2 linked regions of the Coturnix japonica genome follow. The protein of the gene in region 2 interacts with the protein of the main gene of each other region in a biochemical or structural test. Links are inferred from orthologs where the notes say so. Each region holds a gene or a part of one and is shown on either strand. Other genes may lie near its edges.

The links.
Region 1: the proteins of PRKD1 (region 2) and YWHAQ form a complex in vitro, tested with the Homo sapiens proteins (2 studies listed by BioGRID). The link is inferred for Coturnix japonica from reciprocal best matches to the Homo sapiens genes PRKD1 and YWHAQ.

The regions. Positions count from the first base shown.
Region 1 is NC_029518.1:87,878,912-87,883,139, forward strand, and holds the start of YWHAQ (14-3-3 protein theta), read right to left. Parts: upstream 2,801-4,228; 5' UTR 2,649-2,800; intron 1,771-2,648; 5' UTR 1,680-1,770; coding exon 1,386-1,679; intron 1-1,385. UniProt on the Homo sapiens protein: Adapter protein implicated in the regulation of a large spectrum of both general and specialized signaling pathways. Binds to a large number of partners, usually by recognition of a phosphoserine or phosphothreonine motif.
Region 2 is NC_029520.1:31,300,367-31,304,392, reverse strand, and holds part of PRKD1 (serine/threonine-protein kinase D1), read right to left. Parts: coding exon 4,022-4,026; intron 3,537-4,021; coding exon 3,375-3,536; intron 1,968-3,374; coding exon 1,869-1,967; intron 1,368-1,868; coding exon 1,100-1,367; intron 1-1,099.

The sequences.
Region 1 (4,228 bases), on a different chromosome or scaffold from region 2:
TTCTTTACTAGGAGAGTGGTTAGGCCCTGGAACAGGCTGCCCAGGGAGGTTGTGGATGCCCCATCCTTGGAGGTGTTCAAGGCCAGGTTGGACGGGGCCCTGGGCAACCTGATCTAGTAAAGGTGTATGTTTGGTGGCCCTGCCAGGCAGGGGGGTTGGACTTGCTTGTTTCTTGAGGTCCCTTCCAACCCGGGTCATTCTGTGATTCTGTGATTTTATAGAAGGCCTCTGACTCACAGTTAGAAACGAATCCAGGAGGCAGCATGTGAGGAAGCACACAGTATTTTCAATACAATCCAAAGCACCCTTGTACATGAGCCAAAACACTTCTCAAGATGCAAAATCCATTACTTCCAAACCAGCCATCTTTAACCTCAGGTCTCCTAACCCGATTCAGGGTTAAATCAAAAACTGTTTATTTCCTTACTCACTTCCTTTCTCATGCTTGCAATACTAGACATCAAAAATACACAGCTTAACCACTGAAGATGACATGCCACACCATCAGCACTGCACTACACACACACAGCTTCCTGCAGTCAGTAGACCCTGATCACACACAACAGGCTTGCACACTTCCCATGTTGCTGACACAGGTCTGTGGAGCTCCTGCTGCACTGCAATGCTGCTTCACCATCAACAGCATCTGGAATTCTGCTCCTCACATGGAAATATATTGCTGGGCTTTGAAACATGCCCAGGTGCACAATACCTGTCATGGAATATCCTGTTTCCAAGCCACAGTTGTGCATTAGTCCAAAATAACTGCAAATTCACTTTTAACAGCCCCCACTAAATCAACTTGAGTGTGACAAAGCAGATTTCTACCTTTTTCTTTCCTACTTTCAAGGAAGATGTCTTCCTTTATGAAATCATACCTTATTACCTAGGAAAGAAAATCTAAAAAATGCCTCTTTAAGGCCTTTAAAGAGTGTTTTTCCTCACATGAAGCAGCACATTAAATGAACGCCATTAATTTAAATGCATTTAACAGGTTACTAGCACCAACCTTCAGAAATAAAGGGCTTTCATTTTCTTTTCAGCTTACCTTGTGAAGATTAGCTTACAAACCAAAGCACAAGCCTAAATTCCCTGCATCTCTGTGCTCAGCTAGCGTAGTACTGCACACAGGTAACTCCATCAGATGTGCATCTCAAACACAGCTTAGCACACCTCGATTACTTCTGCATATACAGCACCCGCAGCAAAGTGCAGATGATTTTCTGTCTCAAAGTAACCAATATGGCAGCTGCAAAAGTTACTGAACTACCCACTCCAGCATAATAGCTCACATAGTGCCCAGCCCATTTCCCACCCTCCTCAAAACAGCAGCATCCCGCTTCTCTCTTTTGATAAAACACGGAAAAAGGAAAGGCCCCACTCACCAGCACCGTGGTGCAGATGGACCTGAGCTCAGACTCCACCTTCTCCCTATAGTCCTTGATAAGCTGCATCTTCTTGTCGCTGGTGTCTGTCTTTTGCTCGATGCTGGAGATAACCCTCCAGGCAGAGCGTCGCCCCCCCACCACATTCTTGTAGGCCACCGAGAGCAGGTTGCGCTCCTCGTTGGACAGCTCAGCCCCCTGTTCCGTCACCGCCTTCATGCAGGTGGCCATGTCGTCATAGCGCTCAGCCTGCTCCGCCAGCTTGGCTTTCTGGATCAACTCGGTCTTATCCATGGTGGCCGGCGGCAGGACGAGGGCAGTGTTGTAGCAAAGGCAGGAGAAGCTGAGGACGTCACTCTGCCAGCAAGAGAACGAGCCTCAGAGCCTGCCAGGAGAAGGACAGCAACCGTGACTCCAGGAGCCAACGCTGTGGATGGTGTCCTTGCAGCCCCCTTACTGGGACTGTAGGGAGCTCCCCATTCCCAAGTACATCCCATGGCGCAGCACTGGCACCGTCCCTCCCTTGGGCAGAAGCAGGCACTGGTACCGGGCCCACCCTGGGGAAGCAACAGCCCAGAAACCCAGCCGGGGATGGGTCACAGTCCCTCGGCCAGAGGACCGAGCACCGGGCAGTCGTACCAACGTACCACAGCGGCTTTTGTCCTTACTGTGCCAACACACTTAAGAGCTGCTCAATGGAGCCGCACAGCAGGACACCCAGCTCCCAGGCAGCCCGAGGGCCTTCCCCACGTGCCTTCACCCCGCAGGGGAGGGCAAAGAAAAAGGAGGAAACAGAAAAAAAAGCTATTTAAAAAGAAAGAAAGGAGAACAGCGCGCTCGGAGCTGAGGCCGCAGCTCAGCGGGGCTGGAGACAACGCCGGGGCCGGGCGGGGCCGGGCGGGCAGCTCGGGCCGCTTCGCCTCCTGGCGGCGGGGCGAGGCGGGACCATCCCCCCGGCGGGAGCGGCCCCGGCCCCGGCACGGAGCCCCTCCATTCCCGGCCGCTGGGTGGGGTCGGGGCCCGGCGGCTCCGCGTTGGCCTCGTCCCCGGGGACCGCGAAGCGGGGGGCGGCGGAGCGGGACGAGCGTGGCCGGGCGCGGAGGACGAAGCCCCGGCGGGTACGAAATGGCGGCGCCGCCCGGCGGCTCGTTCCGCAACCCGGCACCGCCGAGCGCTCCACGCCGCGCTCACAAAATGGAGGACGCGGCGCCGAGGCGGGGCACGGCGGCACGGCCGGCGGGAAGCGGCCCACGCCGCGCTCACCTGAGTCCGCTGCGCTGCGCTGCGCTAGGCCGGGCCGGGCCGCACCCGATCGGCTGCGCCTCGCTCGGGATGTGGCGGAGAGAAAGAGCCGCTCCCGAAGCGGGCGAGAGCCAGCGCTAAAGGGCGTTGGCACGGCCGAGCCTACCCGCCGCTCGGCCCGCGCCCACGCGGCCAATCGCGGCCTCTCCTGCGAGCCAGGCCCCGCCCCTCCGCTCCCCGCCGGCCAATCCGAGGGCAGCGCGCCGCCGCGGGGGCGAGCGCGGGCAGGGCGCGAGCTCGGTTGGCCCGTGGGCTGCGGCTGGGGCCACGGGGTTTCCTCCAATTAGATCCAGGGTGAGATGACGTCACTGTCGCCATGGCGATACTGCTACAACCCCCCCCCCGCCCAACCCCCGCTCCACCACGGTGGGTCGGCACCGACACGGCGCGGGAACGGGCGGGGGCGGCCGGCGGGGGCTGCCCGTGCTGTGGGGGCTGCCCGTGCTGTGGGGGCTGCCCGTGCTGTGGGGGCTGCCCGTGCTGTGGGGGCTGCCCGTGCTTTAGCTCCCTGGCTGTGTCGCCATGGGGCCGTGCGGGGCGGGCTCGGTGCCCCCTCCGTAGGGCGGCTGTGGGAGGACACAGTGCGTGGTGCCGAGGCTGGGCTGCGGGCTGGGCTGCCCGGCGCCCTCCCGGCGCGTTGTCTCCTGTCAGGAATGCTGCCTTTGTGCCGCCGCTCGGTCGGGCGAGAGATTTCAGAGAGAGGGAAGATTTAGGTTGGATGTTAGGGGGAAGTTCTTCACTAGGAGAGTGGTTAGGTCCTGGAACAGGCTGCCCAGGGAGGTTGTGGATGCCCCGTCCTTGGAGGTGTTCAAGACCAGGTTGGACGGGGCCCTGGGCAACCTGATCTAGTAAAGGTGTATGTTTGGTGGCCCTGCCAGGCAGGGGGGTTGGAACTACATGATCCTTGAGGTCCCTTCCAACCCGGGTCATTCTGTGAGCTGTGCCCCAGGAGCCCGGTGACAGGAAATTGCTCGTGAAGAGTTAATGGCGCTGTGCCGTGGGGCCCTGAGCGGGGAGCGACCCGCGCTGACATCAGTAACCATCGATGTCCATTGGTCCTAAAGGCCTCAGGCTCAAACCTCCCTTCAAACAGCACAGTGTCTACGTGAAGCAGTGAAATCCCTCACCTTTGCTTCCAGCATCACCAAATTTAGTCATGTCCTGCTACTCCAGCATCCTGAAGGGATGATGAATGCTCTGAATCACCTCAGGATGTTGTCGTCTCAGCTCGGAGTGCTCCTGTCTGTGTTCAGATAGGGCTGTGATGAGGCATGTGGGCATTAGGTCTGTGCTGTGAACCGACACTGCCGGTCATTTCAATGGAGGGATGCATTTACTCTGTTAAAAAAAAAGGTGCCTATTGGTAATGCTCCTCATGAAGTTAATGAAACTCTTTCAGAAAGAATTACTGTGTTGGTCTTGTTATTTAAATGTAAGGCAAATGTGTATAAAATGGCCATTGATGGATTTACAGTGTGAATTAGAAGATTTGGTATTTTCAGAGCAATGAGAATGGGGAGCAACTTTCCTGCACTGCGAGC
Region 2 (4,026 bases):
TCAAGTATATAATCAAAAAACAACTTATAAGCAGATTTTAACATTATGATTTATTAAAGGGTGCTCTTTCTCCTACATGCTTGCAGCCTGACATCCATTTACTCTTAACAAAGGCTGTGACTGTGTAGAAGGATAGATAACAGGCTGGTAGGTGAGTTTTCTATAGGTGTTCTACTCAATCTTCACCTCTGAATGTAGAAATTGATCTCCTGTCTACCACAGCAGAACTTGTGGAGGCAATTTCTTGCAGCTTCTTCTGTGTTGACTGCTATTTGCTTATCTCTAGCGCCAGAAAAAGCATTGCTGCCAACAGATTCTGTCAGCTTACATATCAGGGGTGTGTGGAGGTTCATGAGGACATCAGTGTGCAATTGTGCAGATTTATGTTTGTTTGGGTTTTTGGTTTTTTTTTTTGTTTTTGTTTTTTTTCTAGTATTTTCAACAGATATTATAAAACTTGTACTGCTGAGATAAAATTCCAGGGAACACACAAAGAATTTTACAGCTGAGAGTGTGTGGCTCAGTGTACACTACAGGCACATATCTCTTAAGTTACCATTAACATGTAAGTAAAACACGTCGGCTAAAACCAAGGAAAAGCGGTCATCTGTAGCTGTACTGTAAAAATGGAAATTCTAAATTATAATCCTTTAATTCAATTTGATATGTATTGCAATTCTGGGGGAATAACAAACAAACAAAGAAACCCAAACCTGATACATATAACACTTACTTTGCTTTAAGACTTACGAAGCAATATTGCAGGAAGTTAAAGATATAAAGATAATAATAAAAATAAAGAAACTATTGAATAAAAACCCATTAAGCTGAAAATGTTTGTTGTGTACTGGAAAACACTGTTGAAACTGAAATTGATGTATTTTTTAAATATTTCAAAAATCTCCTTGGGTCTCTCCAAGACTTCTCCCCACCCTTCTTTATGCTTCCTTCAACACGTAGAGAAATCTCACACTGGAGGGTTATGTCACATGCAGGAAATGTCTAAAGCATCTAATATGACAAAATAGGGACATTATTATATGAAGGCAGAACATACTTTTTTGGCATTTATATACAAACAGCCACAAACAGACATTACCTTCATGAGAGATTTCTTTCCAAGGATTGGGTGGATACATGAAAGCAGCATTTTGAATCTGATCATTTATGTCCTCATCTTCATTGAATGGGAATGTACCACTGAGGCTTACATAAATGATAACACCCACAGACCACATATCCAGAGATCTGTTGTAGCCTTTATTCCTCAGTACTTCCGGAGCAAGGTAGGCTGGTGTTCCTACAACTGAACGCCTGAAGGATTTCTCCCCAATGATTCGAGCAAAGCCAAAATCACAAAGTTTTACCTGTTTAAAGAGAACTGCTATAGTAAATAAGATTTTTATTATTTAATACAGTTTACGTACTTTTATCATGGTTTAGCTGTATAATGCATATCTCCTGTTCCTTCAGGAAACTTTATTTCTTTTAAGCTTCCCTTCTTAGTCCACCAAGGTATTAAACTAGATTACCAATTCATTGCATTCCTTCATGTTATAAATAAACTGTAGTAGAGCGAAAGCAAAAACACAGGGCAGCCTAGAATGAAGGGAATGAAGTTTTGGAAGGGCTAAACAGCTTAGAATCCTTCCAAACAGAAGATTTTCTTTATAGAGGACCTTTTCCTGAATGAATCAAGTTGACAAAAGTTAGTTCTTGAATCATCACTTTTTTGGACATTCAAATCTAATAATTTTATGTAGTCATTTGAATCAATATAGATACATGCTGTTGTTTATTTTATAAAACAATCAGTGTTAACACTTATTAATAAGAAACATTTATTTTAAAGGAAATTTTCTACTTGCCTGTGGGAAAGGATCTGCTGATGCTAATAATACATTTTCTGGTTTGAGGTCACAATGAACTATATTTTTGAAATGAAGATGTCTTAAAGCAACAAGGATCTGTGAAGAAACAAATCAGAATGAAATTAAGTTTTAAATATTGTATATTTGGGGGGCTTATATTATTTTGACAGCAATAGTGACTAGAGAATCTAGGACTGCTGCAGAGAGAAACAACCCATCAAGAATGCATCTTTCTCAACAGTGTCCACAGTGCAAGGAAAAAAAAAAAAAAAGGCCAGCCATGTTTCACTGTTTGAAATATGACTGTTCCCTCTCCAAGGAGGTTATGCTCTTAACAACTTTGAAAAGTGCATTCTGAATACTTCTCTTCATTTGTTTTGTTGTTGTTGAAACTTTTAAAACAGAAACATCTGCAAAGTTGCCTTCCAGATATAAATTATTCACTCAAAAAATTTCATGGAAATATTCTGTGATCCAATTTTAGTATTTTCTTGTGGTGATGAAACAAAGAGCTTTGCATGCATTTTTATGCTGTTATGTGCAATAAAATGCCAAGGAAGTGTAATAGACATTCATCCTATCTCTGTGGTTTTAACTCAATTCCTTCTGTCTGGTCAGAGGCTGCCAGAATTTCCCACTCTATTAGAACAGGCAGTGGGTAGGGGCAGAATGAACCCATTAAGGCAAGAAACCAAATTCTAAAGCTGGTCACCGTTTTGCCTATGAAAGCCTGAAAGGTAGAAAACTTGTTATGTTCAATTTCTAATAATAAACTTCCACTGTAACACAACTGTTCCTGCTCCTTTCTTTTTCTTGCCTTAACAGAAAAACAGGCTGCTGTGAATCTGAGGTGGCTCATTACTCAGTTGTGTATCTAAATTTAAACTTATTGTGGGCAGCCAAGGAAACAACATGATAACATGACAACAAAAACCAAAAAAACCCAAACAGATCACATTGTTAACAGATGTCACATAGGAAGACAGACTCATTTTATCAAAGGTAGTGCTGAGATCCAATCTAAATGCAGAAAAGAGGCACAGAAATTCATAGCATAAACTACAATGATTAAATATGAGGAAATTCAAAAGGCCCACATTTCTTTCTGCAGTTCTTCAGCAGCCTGCTACTTGTGTTTTCAAGTCCTGTCTTGTGCTAAATCCTTCAAGCATAAGAGAACGCATAACTTGATGTCACTCCCTTCCAGCAGCCAGGCAATTGCATGTGTATTCATGGCTAGGTCCTCTTAATGGCTTAGTAGAAATCAGATAATGTACACAAAGATGTATGTACCATCCCTGATATTATTAGAATCATTCTAATAAAATTCATATTATAGAATCATTCTAATAATAATCATATTATAGAATCATTTTATGATTCTATGATTATTATCCAGGCTTTCATGAATGAAGGTGAAAACTTATGTCAAGATCAAAACATATGAAACAGTGATAACAACTGACTTCAAATATCCTTATAGGTCTATGATCAATTACTTACCTGAGTAATTAAAAACTTTGTTATTCTCTCTGGCAATCTGCCCTTTTCACTTGATAAGATCATCTCCAGCATGTCTCCATGGAGTTTTTCCATAACAACGAACACTCTTTCTGGTGTCTCGAACATACACTCCAAATTTACAACTCCAGGATGATGAAGATTCTAGTAAAAGTAAATACAACATTTGAATAACACAGATATCTCTATATGATTAGTAGGTTTAATGATTACATAACTAACCTCCGGGCTCCCCTAAACCAGAAAATATTTCAGTTTTTCTTAATTTAAACTTTATATTTCATCTGTAGGCAATAGTCATGACATTTCTAGGGATGGTATAAGAGAATGCATTAACTTAAAATTAGTCAAAAATACATTATTGTGCCTTGTGCTTTAGATTGCAGAGATTATATAGATCCTAACAGAACATTCCCAGTACTGTTAGTCTTGACTATTTATGCAGATTAGGCTGCAAAAATACTAGAATTTTCAGCAAAAACAGTAGCTATTATCAACTGGAATAATTACATCATCTCGTATTTATTCCTTGTTCATTGCAGGGGAGTTGGACTAGGCAACCTTTAAGAGTCTCTTCCAACTCAAAAGATTCTATGATTTATAGTAATGAAAAAATAACAGCAAAATACCTGTA